Linked DNA regions of Bombyx mori. The protein of the gene in region 2 interacts with the protein of the main gene of each other region in a biochemical or structural test. Links are inferred from orthologs where the notes say so. Each region holds a gene or a part of one and is shown on either strand. Other genes may lie near its edges.

Evidence for each region. The genes of interacting proteins can lie anywhere in the genome.
Region 1: the proteins of calmodulin (region 2) and myosin heavy chain 95F form a complex in vitro, tested with the Drosophila melanogaster proteins (2 studies listed by BioGRID). The link is inferred for Bombyx mori from reciprocal best matches to the Drosophila melanogaster genes Cam and jar.

What each region holds. Positions count from the first base shown.
Region 1 is NC_085115.1:731,141-739,175, forward strand, and holds part of myosin heavy chain 95F, read left to right. Parts: intron 1-770; coding exon 771-1,033; intron 1,034-1,107; coding exon 1,108-1,257; intron 1,258-1,683; coding exon 1,684-1,940; intron 1,941-2,025; coding exon 2,026-2,183; intron 2,184-2,277; coding exon 2,278-2,442; intron 2,443-2,520; coding exon 2,521-2,747; intron 2,748-3,336; coding exon 3,337-3,534; intron 3,535-3,598; coding exon 3,599-3,823; intron 3,824-3,900; coding exon 3,901-4,108; intron 4,109-4,433; coding exon 4,434-4,675; intron 4,676-4,826; coding exon 4,827-4,939; intron 4,940-6,050; coding exon 6,051-6,158; intron 6,159-6,418; coding exon 6,419-6,535; intron 6,536-6,915; coding exon 6,916-7,008; intron 7,009-7,532; coding exon 7,533-7,577; intron 7,578-8,035. UniProt on the Drosophila melanogaster protein: Myosin is a protein that binds to actin and has ATPase activity that is activated by actin. Together CLIP-190 and jar may coordinate the interaction between the actin and microtubule cytoskeleton.
Region 2 is NC_085129.1:673,774-681,016, reverse strand, and holds part of calmodulin, read right to left. Parts: intron 2,250-7,243; coding exon 2,007-2,249; intron 220-2,006; coding exon 191-219; 3' UTR 1-190. UniProt on the Drosophila melanogaster protein: Calmodulin mediates the control of a large number of enzymes, ion channels and other proteins by Ca(2+). Among the enzymes to be stimulated by the calmodulin-Ca(2+) complex are a number of protein kinases and phosphatases.

The DNA.
Region 1 (8,035 bases), on a different chromosome or scaffold from region 2:
GGCTCGTCGAACTTTTCGTTGTGATCGATGAGTCCTGTCAAATCTGAATGAGTATTGGGGGAACGCTATATCATTATTATGCGTAAGTAATGAAGAATTTTAGTAGGAACTAGAATGTATAGGTTTACGCAAAAAACGTAAAAAAGGATTGTGTGATTTTATGAAACTACGGTAAAAGTGAAACTTTTTTCGCATTACAGACATTTAACTCTGACAAACAACATTTACATTAAACACTGACAAAAACAAACAAAATAGCGTGGAGCACTGGCACAAATGAGTAATAATCTATAATACACTACACGGTCAGCTGCTGCGAACTATAGGCGCCGCCATATTGGCCTTGGCTGCTCTGACGAGCGTCTTTCACCTTATCCCTACTCCGCGGCCGACCGTCACGCGACATGCAACACACAGACGAAACAGTTTGAGACGATGTAATAAAAGTTTTACTTTAAAATTTGTACCCAGACTCCCTCTCCCGGGTTTCCAAACTTATAATAAACTAGCTGTACCCGTCCGCTTCGCTGGGCATTTAAAATTAACATTATTATTTATCACCCCCCCACAGAGTCTTATCATTAACGCCCCCGCAACTGGTGTAGGGAGTCCAACACTCATATAAATATTCCTATCCATTAAGTACATGTATTTTCTACATGGATACCAAGTTTCAAGTCAATCGGATGCATGGTTCAGTAGTTATAACGGAACATCCATAAAAACCACTGTAGATTTATATATTATTATAGAATAGATGATGTTTTCAGCGAACCCTATCCTCGAAGCGTTCGGCAACGCGAAGACGACCCGCAACAACAACAGCTCGCGCTTCGGCAAGTTCATCGAGGTGCACTTCAGCGGCGCGTGCAGCGTCACCGGCGGACACATCTCGCACTACCTGCTCGAGCGCTCGCGCGTGTGTCGCCAGGCGCCCGCCGAGCGGAACTACCACGTGTTCTACCTGCTGTGTGCCGGCGCGCCGCCCCCCCTGCGCACCTACCTGCGCCTCACCAAGCCAGACGACTACTACGTGAGTCCGCCGCCCCCCACCCACCCCTGCCCCCCCTCACAGCTACAGCTGCTCACGCTCATTGTTCCCGACAGTACCTCAAGAGCGGCTGCACCCAGTACTTCACTACGCCGGACTCGGAAAAGAAGATCAGCGCCGACCGCAAGAGTAAAGATCACCTCGCCAAGGGCGGGCTGCGGGACCCCATACTTGACGACTATGAAGATTTCCAGAGACTTAATCAGGTGAATGTTTAACCTGTTTTCCTTGTGTCGGTGACGTAAGAGTGATTTCTCGGGGAGTGTCTCTGGAACGCGAGCTGGTTGGAACGTGCAAGCAGTCCACACCGGTGTCTGCTGCACCGTACTCGGAGGGGACCGTGCTTCTGCTTGCAGGGTAGACCGCGGGATCCTTCCAGCGTCAATTAAAATCATTCTAGGTAACGAAGGGTTTCCACAGAACGGGTGATTTGCCGCGTGGTCTAATTGATAAATTGAAATGATATCAGGTAGTGCGGGAGGACGAGTCCCTCCTCAGAAATGCAGCCGACATTAGAAAATTATTAAAAAATCCGATTGCACAATCTGAGAGTGCCTAGTGAAATAGTTTTCATGTAAATCATATGATATTTTATTTGAAAAGAAATTAAGCTTAAGTAATGCTTCATTCAGGCGCTGAGTCGCGCCGGCTTGTCGGAGGAGGAGAAGCGCGACGTGTTCGGGGCCGTGGCCGGCGCCCTGCACCTCGGGAACATCACGTTCGACGAGGAGCCCGGCGCGCGCGGGGGCTGCGCCGTGCACGCACACGCCGAGCCCGCGCTCGCCGCCGCCGCCGCCCTCTTCCACGTCCCCGCCGACATGCTGCGCCGCGCCCTCGTGTCCCGCCTCATGCAGAGCGCGCGCGCCGGCCACAAGGGCACCGCCATCATGTCGGTACCGCCGCCCCCCAACCCGCCCCGCCTCCGCACCCGCCCCCGCGCCCGCCCCTACAATGAGTCGTCCCGCTGTGCGCAGGGTCCCGCTGAAGCCGCACGAGGCGTGCAGCGCCCGCGACGCGCTGGCCAAGGCGGTGTACGGCCGCGTGTTCGAGCACGTGGTGCGCCGCGTCAACCGAGCCGTGCCAGCCGTCGCCGCGCCCTACTACGTCGGCGTGCTGGACATCGCCGGCTTCGGTACACCTGAATATCAACTAGTTTTGGGATTGATTTATTGTTTCTTAACTCCCGGATCTCGTTCGTATTCGTAACGTGTTCTCTTCTGGCGCAGAGTACTTCGAGATGAACAGCTTCGAGCAGTTCTGCATAAATTACTGCAACGAGAAACTGCAGCAGTTCTTCAACGAGCGCATTCTCAAGAACGAGCAGGAGCTGTACAAGCGGGAGGGACTCAACGTGCCCCACATACAGTACGTCGACAACCAGGACTGCATCGGTACGTGCGCCGCCCCCCTCGCGCCGCCCCCTCGCCCTCGTCGCCGCATCCACATCACTCAACACGCGTCGTTTGCAGATTTGATCGAGAGCAAGAACCACGGCATATTCCACTACCTGGACGAGGAGTCCAAGCTGCCCAAGCCGGAGCCGTCCCACTTCACGGAGTGCGTGCACCGGGAGCTGGGCGCGCACAGCGAGCGCCTGCACGTGCCGCGCTCCTCCCGCCTCAAGGCGCACCGCGAGCTGCGGGACCACGAGGGCTTCCTGCTGCGACACTTCGCCGGCGCCGTCTGCTACAGCACGGTCAGCGCGCGCACGCACACGTACATGCACATACACGCACATACACGTGCACGTACAGCAACGTGCACGCACACGTACACGCACATACACGCGCACGCACACACGTACACGCACATACACGCGCACGTACAGCAACGTGCACGCACACGTACACGCACATACACGCGCACGCACACACGTACACGCACATACACGCGCACGTACAGCAACGTGCACGCACACGTACACGCACATACACGCGCACGCACACACGTACACGCACATACACGCGCACGTACAGCAACGTGCACGCACACGTACACGCACATACACGCGCACGCACACACGTACACGCACATACACGCGCACGTACACACACTTGCACGTACACACTCGCGAACGCACTCACCCCCGCACGCACTCACATACGCGCGCACGCACATACACACACGCGCACCCGCACACACAACGGCATGCGCACAACACAAATGTCCGAACACGAGCCCAAGTCGACAACGATTTAAATAAAAATTCAATTGATTTGTTCTGTGTCCCAGTCCAGTGGCACACAGAGACCGGTCGGCCTTTAAATGTAGACTTCCGCCGACAGGGGCAGTTCATCGAGAAGAACAACGACGCCCTGCACGCGTCCCTGGGCGTGCTCATGCAGGAGTCGGACAGCGCCTTCGTGCGCGAGCTGTTCGAGGAGGCGGGCGCGGAGCCGGCGCGGGGCCGCCTCGCCTTCCAGTCCGTCGGCGCCAAGTTCCAGGCGCAGCTGGCGCAGCTCATGGACAAGCTCGGCAAGAACGTACGTCTCGCGCCAGTATCCCGTCAGCAGTCGTAGGCCTCGTGTGACGCCGCTTGTGTCGCAGGGCACGAAGTTCGTCCGCTGCGTCAAGCCCAACGGCTCCATGCGGGGCGGCGCGGGCGAGGGCGGCCTGGTGCTGGCGCAGCTGCAGTGCAGCGGCACCGGCGCCGCGCTGCAGCTCATGGAGCACGGCTACCCCTCGCGCGCCCCCTTCCTGCACCTGCACCACACCTACGCGCCGCACCTGCCGCACCAGCTCGCCAGCCTGTCGCCCCGGACCTTCTGCGAGGTACGCGCCGCCCGCGCACCCACCGCCGCGTGAGGTAGCTTTGAGTCACAACGATTGCAAGCGTGCTGCGTGTGCAGGCGATGGTGCACAGCCTGGGGCTGTCCGACAAGGACTTCAAGCTGGGCGTGAGCCGCGTGTTCTTCCGCCCCGGCAAGTACAGCGAGCTGGACGCGCTGCTGCGCTCCGAGCCGCACGAGCTGCAGGCCGTCGTCAAGAACGTGCTGACGTGGCTCGTCAGGTCGCGCTGGAGGAAGAGCATCTTCGCTGTGCTTTCCATTATCAAATGTGAGTACTCACTGTGGTGCGTTTTAGTTGCCGACGCGTCCTGGAAGGCGATGCTTAACTTCCGCGAGTCCACCACCCTGCCGAGGCGAGCGGTGGAACAAAAGAGGGAAAGCTCATTTCTCTGCGTACCGAGCCGTCCCCCGGGCTTTGTGTCGGACGGAGATCAGATGTCGCTTAGTGGGTGGGTCTTTAACATGTCCGGCCATCGATTCTCACACGCACCGCGCGCCTCTGAGACGTAGGAAATCTGTAGAAGGACCACACCAGGTCTGATATAAAAAAGGTCGAACAAACAAAAAATGCGAATACAAATGTACTTTTGCAGTGAAGAATAAGATAGTGTACCGGCGCTCGTGCCTGGTGCTGATCCAGAAGTGCGTGCGCGGGCACGTGGTGCGGCGCCGCCACCGCCCGCGCCTGGCCGCGCTGCGCCAGCTCGCCGCGCTGCGACACAACCTGGTCGACATGCGGCGCGCGCTCGCCAGCCTGCGCCCCGCCCCGCCCGCCGCGCACCCCGCGCTCGACGCGCTGGCCCGCCGGCTGGACGACGCCGCCCGCGCCGTCAAGGTCCGCATCTCAATGCATGACTGCAGACTTTCTATTGCTATTTAAACCTAATGGGACTAATTTTAATTTTATATAACTCATTATCAATAAATTTTGTAACGTGGAAGTGTACTGGGTGTCGGGCCGACGACTAACTGACTGTTCCCAACAGGACAACGAGCACATGTCCCGCGAGCAGCTGGACAGCATGCAGGCCACACTGTCCAAAGAAGTCGAAGTACAGATGAATGCGATACAGAAGGCCGTAGTCGAACAGAAGAACAGGTAGGACCCCGCCCGACCCCCGCGGTACCCCCGCCCCCCGCGGTACCCCCGCCCCCCGCGGTGCCCCCGCCCCCCGGCGCGATTCTTCCTTACACCCTACAGTGAGGAAGAGTCGACTTTTTAGCGCATCTGTTATGTGACAACAGATTGTTGCGTTGTGACGTAATCTATTCTGTATTCTAATCGCGGCATCCAAAGTATCACTATTACACGGAACTCTCCCGAATTTTCTAGGACATTTCCATATTTCTATGTCCGTTGCTGCTATGTGACGCCAGGTGGCGTTGATCGTAGCGGTGCAATATTATTGCGCCAAATCTCAATCCGACGCTTTAAAATGGGTGATATCACGTTCTAAGATTCCGTTACGCGGACACACAGAGACAATAAAAGCGCTTAGATCTTGCTCATCACTGACGCCGATGTTAGAGTAACTGTTATCTGTCGACTAACTTGCAAATTCGTCTTATGCTTTTCTTAATCTAACTACTAAACACCCCTTTTCGATAAAGCGGCACGACACAAAAACCCTCTCATAGTGGCTCAATCCAGTAACGGTGCTTTTAGGTACCTCAAGCACCGGTCATCGTTCTCGTCGAACCAGTCACTTGCGACGAAGGGCTCGACGAGTAAATTAACCCACTGAGTTTCTCGCCGGATCTTCTCAGTTTTCGATCCGGTGGTAAATTCTGCGAAGCACTGCTCTTGCTAGGGTTCATGTTAGTGACAAGGTCAGGTTTGAGCCCCGTGATCTTATCTACTAGCCCGACGACACTGATATGGTCTCTCAAGACCATCAGCTTAGGTAGAAAAAAAAAGTAAACGAAATCGGCGCGACGTGTCTTCCTGTGTGAGGATTGAGCTACGGCTTCACGGCTGTTCCCCTGTGTAACGGGGACCTCCGAACGTTATGCGTGAAAGGGCGAGCGTCTCTGTGCTATACCACCACGTAACACAATAATGTAGGCAGGAGAAGGTCATTGATAAACTGACACCTGTACTAAATGAGTTCGAGGAATCTGCTGGCAACAGCTAAAGGGTTCCCGCATCCGAATCCCGGATTAGGTGTTGGTGAAGCGGTAGTACTGACTCGATAACGTTATCGTTGCAGGGAGGAACAAGAGAGACTTCGCAAGATCGAAGCGGAGATCCGAGCCGCCGAGGAAGCGAAGCGCATCGAGCAGGAGAAGATCCGACAGGAGGAGGAGAACAGGAGGCTGTGGGTTTCAACTCTCTGAGTACATTCTGTTATTTTGCGAGATGAACCAACCCCCCCGACGGACTCCCTTGCCCCTGCCCCCGGTCCTCCTGCCCCTGTCCACTGGGCTCCCTGCCTCTGTTCTCTGTGTGGTGCTGAAACTTAGACCGCTAGATTGGTCATTCTTTATGACGTACATATGTGGTTCAATATATACGACCAACTTTGTTAGCAAATAAACTTGCTTCACTTGATCCAGAATATTCGTTGTCGGTTACCAGGAAAGCGGAGATGGAGGCGCGGCGCAAGGAAGAGGAGCGTCTGCGTCACCAGCAGCCGGCCGACGTCGCCGCTGACGTCATCGACCCGCTGCAGCAGGACCGCACCGACCGGGACCGGTAACTGCGCCTTTCACTTGTGATTGTGTCTTTCACGAACGATCACGAACTTTTTTTTCCTACCTAAGTTGATGGTCTAGACTCTGGGGAGATCATGTCAGCATCACCGGGCTAGTAGTTGAGCTTACGGGGCTCAAACCTGACGATGACGTCAAACTTTAATTAATTTTAGTTTAAATAGTTTGAGCACTAAACCTAATGACAGTTCAAGACGGTGCTCCTCCAAGGAGATCTCAACTAAACAATCTTAAAAAATTAGATTTATATCTCTTTACATCAGAATATACGTTCTAAGTACAATTTTCTAACAATAAAAGTAAAACTCGAGGCACAAATGAAACAGTATAGTGATGCGACACTAAGGCGACTGTCGTGTGCAGGCTGGAGCAGGAGCGCCGGGACCACGAGATGGCGCTGCGCCTCGCCCGGGAGACCAACGGACACGTGGAGGGCTCCCCGCCGCAACTGCGCAGGTGCGCCCCCACCCCCTCCCCCACACAACAACATAGGCTCATGTCGACGAGCCGTCACGGTCCCGCGAGCCGGTGTGCGACCTCTTCCTGTACATAGCTTCCAGCTGGACACTTCGCACATTAGGCCGTTGACTAAAAGATGAAGAATATATATTTTGTTATTCGCGTAGATAGGAGACTTGATGTTAAGCGACTGCCGATGCCCGTAAACATCACGTCGTGGATTTGTCCTTCGAGACAGGGACAGAAGTGTCACTCCGTTGCGAGCCGAGAGGGCCGGCCCAACTTTCAACCTCGTCTCTGGAGTCCCGCGTTAGCATTCCGATGTGTATTGGCTCTACCTATCGGTCGATAACAAAAGAGAAGTTAAACTTCTTTAGGTACAGAGAGCTATTTCCATAACATTAGCGACATAAGTAATTGTGTTCACATTCGAACCAGTAAACAGAAGTTGAACTTCAAAGTTAAAGTCGGTAAACCCGACAGTAGAGCGAGATTGTAATGATGTGATGTATCTCGCACAGCTTCCCCCCGGCGGAGGCACTGAACGGAGAGAATAAGTTGAACAGGTACTGAGTGGGGGCGAACCCCAAACGCTCCCCGTGGGGCTCCCTTGACGTCTGCGCCGGTCCTTGTCCCAATGACCCTCACTGGGTCGGCTGACCTCTAAACAAGTACGAACAGTACTGAGGACAAATGTCATTATATCTTTTAAATAACAGTCCCTAAGTGCTCCATAACAAAGACGTGTTTGGTTAATCTAACACTACTTTCATGATGGGTCACTAAAACTTTACCCTGTAATCGCAAATAAATAAATGAAAATAGTGAACCCTGACGGGTAGTGTACATGGGGCGAAGTGTAGGAGTCCGGCGCCGACGCTGCGGGAGCCCCGCGCCGCTGTGCTAACCCTACCGGCGATGGCTTCCTACCGCACCAACCCTACCTGTCTCTGCTGTACTGTGTCTAGGCTTCTAAACATTGCACTGATCTAATTCAATAAGGCAACAAAACAAACTTTTAATT
Region 2 (7,243 bases):
AGAGGGGGCGGGGCGGGGGGCGAGGGGCCGCCCGCGCCGCCGCGCGAACTTCCTAACTGAAACGATGACAGTATTTAATTTATCGCAAACACTAGAGAAATGCAGGTCCAATACGATGCTAATATTGTGTGTCATGAAACAAAATGTATATTTAAATTCTCTGCTTTTTACACACACACTAGCCGGCGGCTCACTTCGACGTCATCATGGTGACGAACTCTGAAAACAGAAGCAGAACGCAGGCATTACAAGTCGCCCTGGGGCATCATCACGCGCCGCGGCCGCACGCGGACCCACCTCGCATAACGTGACGTGGCTAAGATAAGAGTGTTAACACAAAAATATTACACACAACGAAAAAATAACCGACAGTGATAGAGATGCACTAATAACAGCTATCGGACAGATCAGCGGAGGCGGTGAGTCCGACGCGGCGCGCGCTAACAACGTACCGGAACATAAACGTTACCTCGGCATGCCACTACAAGGGACTGTGGGAAATACCACCCTCTGACGTAAGCGCGACGCGGCGGGAAGCGCCCCTCGATATCGCCAGGTGGTATTTCTCTTGGAAAAACTTATATACAAATATTAGACGCATGCACCAATCAATAGGAAAGAGTCGACCGTGCCCCGCGCGAGACAGGATCGACGAACAGCGAGAGAGAGAGAGAGAGAGGGGGCGGAGAGAGGGGGACGGAGAGCGGGGAGCGGCTAACGTGTCCAAGGCAGGTACATGTAATGACGAGCAGCAAACCATTCAGATTAAGACTGGGGTATACCTATAATCGCACCGCACTCGCCGCACGCCGTCCGACAATCGCACCGATCGCTACACACTACAAGAGGAAATCGTTTCGAGATCACAGCGTTATCGTAGTCTTTTCTTATGGACACTAGTGATGCTAGTGATGCTAGTGTACTAATATCACGATTGCGGATGGTGCGCGAGCGCTAGCGGCCGCCCTCGCCGCGACCGAATATGATTTGGGCGAGTGCATGGAAGTCTGCAAGAGAGAGAACGCTCGGTCGGATGATACGGTCCACCAACTCTGGCCGGCAGTAGACGCATGCAGACAGACGCAGGCGGCACATGCGAAGCGCCGGCGGCCGGGCGGGCGGCTCCTCGAGCACCGCCCGACCGCCGCTTTCAAACAATAACTCAATAAATTAATCAACGTCTCGCTTTCAAAGAGATCAACGCGAACATGGTGTTCGTAAATCAAGTCTACACGACGCGTGGGATTACTGAGCAAAAATGATTTTACGAGAAGTATAATGTCGAGTCAGTTTATAAATAAATGGCGGAGCATTGGGGCGGGCAAGCACGACGGTTGGCGTTAGTTCGTGCGGTGGGGTCTATCGACATGCTGGACCGAGCCTCACTGCGCGCCCGCTTTACTTCGAGAGGTGCTTGCGTAGTACAACACGTCTAGTTGTATCTTTTCATTTCCGGCAGGGCCTTCATTACGTTTATTTCACATCAATAATGGCTACAATAACAGCGTAACGAAGACCCAAATCACATTTACAATTTGGGATCCGATACTACTGACATTTTTGAATAAAAACAAAGATCCCAAAATATTTGTTAAGCTGTGTTCAAAGCGAAAATCACACTAGACATTCGTACAAACAAAAGTTATACGTTTGCACGACTAATTAATGTATTCAAATTTACTGTGAAAATCACTTCAAAAAGCACAGCCTGTACATTCATTCACATACAAATGACAGACAAGCAGAGCAAAACTAACAAATAGGCGATTTCGACAGGTTTATGAATGTAAAATAATGCGAACGAAAACCATTAACCATTTCAAAGCGCACTATTCTGGAGCGCGTAATCGGAAATCATTTTTCAATAAACGGATGGAACACACTTAGCGAACCACCAAACTTGGATGCACTACAAGCAGGAACAAAGGGCACATCTATTCACTGGTTTTGCTCAGGTGTACAAGACTGGAAGCGTGAACACTACTACTACTCTGCGGAGAGCTCACCTTCGTAATTGACCTGGCCGTCGCCGTCGATATCGGCCTCGCGAATCATCTCGTCGACCTCCTCGTCAGTGAGTTTCTCTCCGAGGTTGGTCATGACGTGGCGCAGCTCGGCCGCGGAGATGAAGCCGTTGCCGTCCTTGTCGAAGACGCGGAAGGCCTCGCGGATTTCTTCCTCGCTATCCGTGTCCTTCATCTTGCGCGCCATCATTGTCAAGAACTCGGGAAAGTCTATCGTGCCGTTTCCTGAAATTCAACGATTATTAAAATTAGCATTATTGTGAAAATCAAAGTATGTACATTATGGCGAATCTAACGTTCAAAACTTCGTTGAGAAATCAAACATGATGGACAATATTATTGCGAACCATTGGTGTTTAAAATAAAACACTGTGTTCAAAGCGGATCGACAACAGATGCGCCCTGGAGTATTCCAGAGTCAATTTATAAAGATGTATGGAAGATTTCTACGTGTCCAGGTGTCCACAGTGATGGATTTATCGCGGCATAAAACAACATTATTAACACGTTAATTCGTATTAGTCGTTCTGTTGTCTTGTAAAAATACGCTTTGTGGGTAGTTTTAAAATATTAGGACGATTTGTGTGATTCAACGCAATCCTGTAAACTAGCGACTTGAATACGTTGTACGGAAGAAAGAGATTACAGAATATTATTAGATTGTGCTATTTATTGAGCAGTTTTAATGCAATTGTATTAATTGGGACTCCAAAACAATGTTCAGGGTCCGAGTAATGACTTTCGGGGAAAAAAAGCACGAGGCGAGAAACATTTTAAACAAAGAAACCCCAATTTTCTATAATGCATTAACATTTCATCGGTAGAAAACAAAGTGAAATCAGACGACACGTAACGTGTTACGATGTGACTCGGGACTTTCGCTAAGCAAGACGTGTTGTTATCAACAACTAGTTTTTCTTCGTATAATAAATACGAAAACAACACTCGGAATTACACTGCATTTACTTTTGCATTAAGAGTCAGTCTCAAATATCGTTGAAAAGGCGGTGTAATTTAGGATTAGTTTAGAGTTCGTTAACGGCAGCCCAAATATTACTTTTGGTGGTAGTTTAGTCAGACTTCCAATCTGTTTAGCTGGTGTTGAATGATAATCAAGGCAAAGAACGTGCGTTAGTTTCGAAGTTCAAATTGTTAGTCGATTCTAATGATCTTCAGATTGGAACATTAGATTGTATATTTTTGTTGGTAGTCAACAGTCTGACCAAGTACACTACGTACACTAGTAAATTGTATTTGGCATGTTCTCCTAGTTCGCTAGATGGAACTATATTTATTCTGGCAGTATATGGAGCTTAAAGATTTCGATCACGAATCATAAAATAGATCGCGTGGGTCGTAGTACAAAACAAATTGGACTTTGTGAATAATTTATGCACGTTTTAACACCAAACCATATCTATTACTGTCAATAGTTTTGAAACGTTAAATTATGAAGCAGTGTCTTTAAATAGCTACTAAAATGAGTACACCATTTCGTATTTAGAAAACTAGAATAGAAAAGTAACGGCTATTTAAACAACTCCGAAATATAAAATTTGAATACAGGATTTAAAGCGATAGATAAGTTGTTAGCACGCGTTTGTAGGGAGGTTTTAGTAATAATTATTTGTGTAGCGTTCGTTACACACAAGCAAAATAAACATAAAGGATCAAACATAGAATCGTACACCTAATTACATAATATGATAATAAATTGTAGTCAGCGGCTTGGCTCTGGCCCTGGCATTGCTGACGTCCATGGGCGATGGTAACCACCATCACCATCAGGTGGGCCTTATGCTTGTCAGCCTACAAGGGTAATAAAAATATATATATGATAATAAGCGTCATAAATAATTCAAACTAGTACGATCAGTTGAATATAAAATCGCGAAACTTGCGTTACTCAACATCAACAAGCTGTCGGATGCGTTTGAACGGGAAATCCAATAATTTATGAGCCCCAATAACCGCATCTGTTTATGCTCATTAAAATGTCTAAGTGAAGCTACAATATCTAATATTAACATGTCGAAACATTCCAAGAAACATTATTTTCTATTCTATAAAATCTAATCCCATAATCTTCGAATTATCATTAGACTACTCGAAATAATAATACGCAATTGTGAAAATTCAATGCACTTTGTTTTATGCGGTCGCTTTGGCATTTTTAAAACAATAATAATATGATCGGATGTGAATGTCAAGTTTAAATGATAAAACGTACACATTACGTTTTTGTCTTGTGGCAATGTTGTCCATTGGTGATTACTTATAACACTCAGTTTACCTAATGATGGCTATTGTGTACAAATAAACCAGATAAATTGGTGAAGATACGCGAATTGAAGCGTCAAAGTATCTAAAGTTATAATGGCGATTCCAGTTGTCTAGCTTTTTGATAGAATCAACATTTCAATGTGACAACGGTGAACGCTCGCCAAGCCGCGTTGCAAAAATAAGTGCAAGTTAAGTTTGGCTTTCTAATTCTGGTCAACCTTTGCGAGGCGGTTCGTTCGTGATCTATAAATACACGAGCGTTTCACACACTGCATCTTGCATTCCGTGTCTTGCCACCTGGGACACTACTGTCAGTTGTCAACCGTTAACTAATGACTACGTCGACAGGTTTACTATCGATCCGGTTCAGTATGAGAAACGGATTGATCGTGTGAATGATTCAGATACACATTTTCAAATGGATACATAGTAAATGTTTTGTAATTTATTACTGTGAGTCAAATATCCTTGTTATTTTGATAACATTAGTACAAACGCGAAAACAAGCCTCGAATCGAATCTTCCGTTGCATTTCAACCTTTCGAGTAGGCCGTTCTTGTATTTACATATAAACACAGACGGCGATGTGTTATGATATTTGTTTCAGTCTGTGTTTCTGTAGCGTGTGGGAGCAACAACGGTTCTGTCTCCTTGAACCCAGCGCCGATGGCGTCGTATTTATTATTTTTGCATGGTTCACACAGCATTCCGCGTCACTAAGAAGTTAGGTTTGTTTTGATTTCTGACACAATAAACATATCATCGAAATATTGCGATTCATATTAGGTTTTTACACTTAGATTATGAAAACAGTCATTACTGTTAATGATTATACTGATTGCGTGTATTTTATATAATTTATTACAAATTTTTCTTCTTCGAAATTTATCTCTTCAGCGTCAGGTATTGAGAGTATCTGCAACCGCGGTTTAAAACATTATTTTAATTTTTTTTTTAATAATTTTTAGTTTCATTATTAGCGTTGATAAGTATAATACATATGTATATATAACATTTTTATTAGTAAGTGAGTAGTTTGTTCAAATTATCAGTACATTTTACAATGGAATGCACATGTTATTTAATGGTCAATAAAATTTATTTTATTCTTCCTCAGAGAAGCAAGACCACATAGAACTTTAAATAGGTGCGCGGGGAGCAATTATAACCCTGGCGAATTCTAAAAGTACATTTGTAGTTTTTTTAACGACATTTCTAAACTTGTGAAAATAAGGAATTATTCAAGTGAATTCAATACTTGTTCAGATTCAAAGTATTCTGTTCTCTTATTCAGCATCTATTAAGGTTGTTTCTGTTTTGGGTTAACACAATTACAAATCAGATAAAATAATATTATCTACCAAAGTGATGCGACACGTGATTCCCATTAAAATTATGACAATACGAACCTTTGTTTCCGTCCAATGTTTGTAAAGCCACAATCCTTAAATACGACTGTAAAGTCAAAAGCATGGGGCAATTAAGCCATAAATGCCACACAATCAAATCGGTAATCGTAAACGCAGGTCAACTGAGGGTAAGCTCGATGGAGTCATTCGGCAACGGCGTGCATGGCCCATATAAACAGCGCGCCCACGCTTTAAGCCGGCACGTAAAATTTTCCCAGTTATAAACGTAGATGAACTCACACATAGCCTGCCTATACTGTCGCGATGAAAACATAATTCTAGATAATTCTAAATGTCCAATGCAATTTAAGAATTGAACGATTCCCGGCGGTTGTGTTATTAACGGAACCCATCGACATCATAACGTGAATGCACCACCCACCTCAAGACGTTAGCTCGAAGTCTCAATAGCTCTATATAACAGTTGTCCCACCCTTTATTTACGGTAGCAATAGACAGAATGGCAGTAACTACCCGTCCGTGATTCAATACGTCCTACTAACAGTAATTACACATTTTTTATTATATACGCGTTATTATTCCTACATCGTGGAAGTCAAAGGAATATCTGGTAGGGTATTTGTACACCTGCAGCATTGTCGCAACGCTTCATTCGATAACACCAAGCCCCTTATCCTATAAGGCCGGACCTCCAATTAAAATCGAGTCAGATTAATTAAATATTTTTATTACATTATTCGCGGTTGAGTTTTAAGATTGAAACCATACTAAGTAGTAAAAAATTACGTAATCAATGTTAAGCTGTAGCGATTAAGATATCGTTTTAATCAGAATTCGTAAAAGCAGTCACCCGGTTGGTTCACTCAACACTTATGACTAATTCTCGTTATCTTGGTAAGCTCGTTACAGATACAGCCGTAAATATTTGAAAAGTATTTGATTCGGTTAATAAATTCAAATAGTACTCTTACTAGCCGTAAATTGTCTTCCTGAAGTGTGATAGACCCATACGTATTATTATCACAGATTATCTATTTATGATGCATACGTTCCGGCACTTTCCGACCGGAAGAGCAGTCGATATTCTGACAAGTGTCTCTATGTCGATGATAACATTCAAATTGCTCGGGATGTACGTACGCCCCCTTTTCGGGCAAGTTGCCGGTCTACCCAATAAAATTATAATAGTAACTTGATAGATGCAGGTATAACAAGCAAACGTCGGATCAGTCAATTTCGCATTCAACGGCTTTGCTAATGTGATATTATACGGTCGCTCCGAAGCCTTACGAATGAGGCAACAAGGACGCGTGATTCAAGATGGCGTCACCGACGTAAATTTAAACGAAACGCTGACACATTCCTTATATGCGATTACGTGGTAATAAATAACGGCCGTGCCCGTTCCGCGGATTCATAATTATGGGACTAATTGAGATAATTTGTCGGAAATGTCTCTTGTCTGTCCGACTAATATTTACGCTGGTGCAACCTGAAGCTACTACACCTACATCTTATTTTATTTCTTTTTAGATGGGTGGTCGAGCTCACGACCCACCTGTTGTT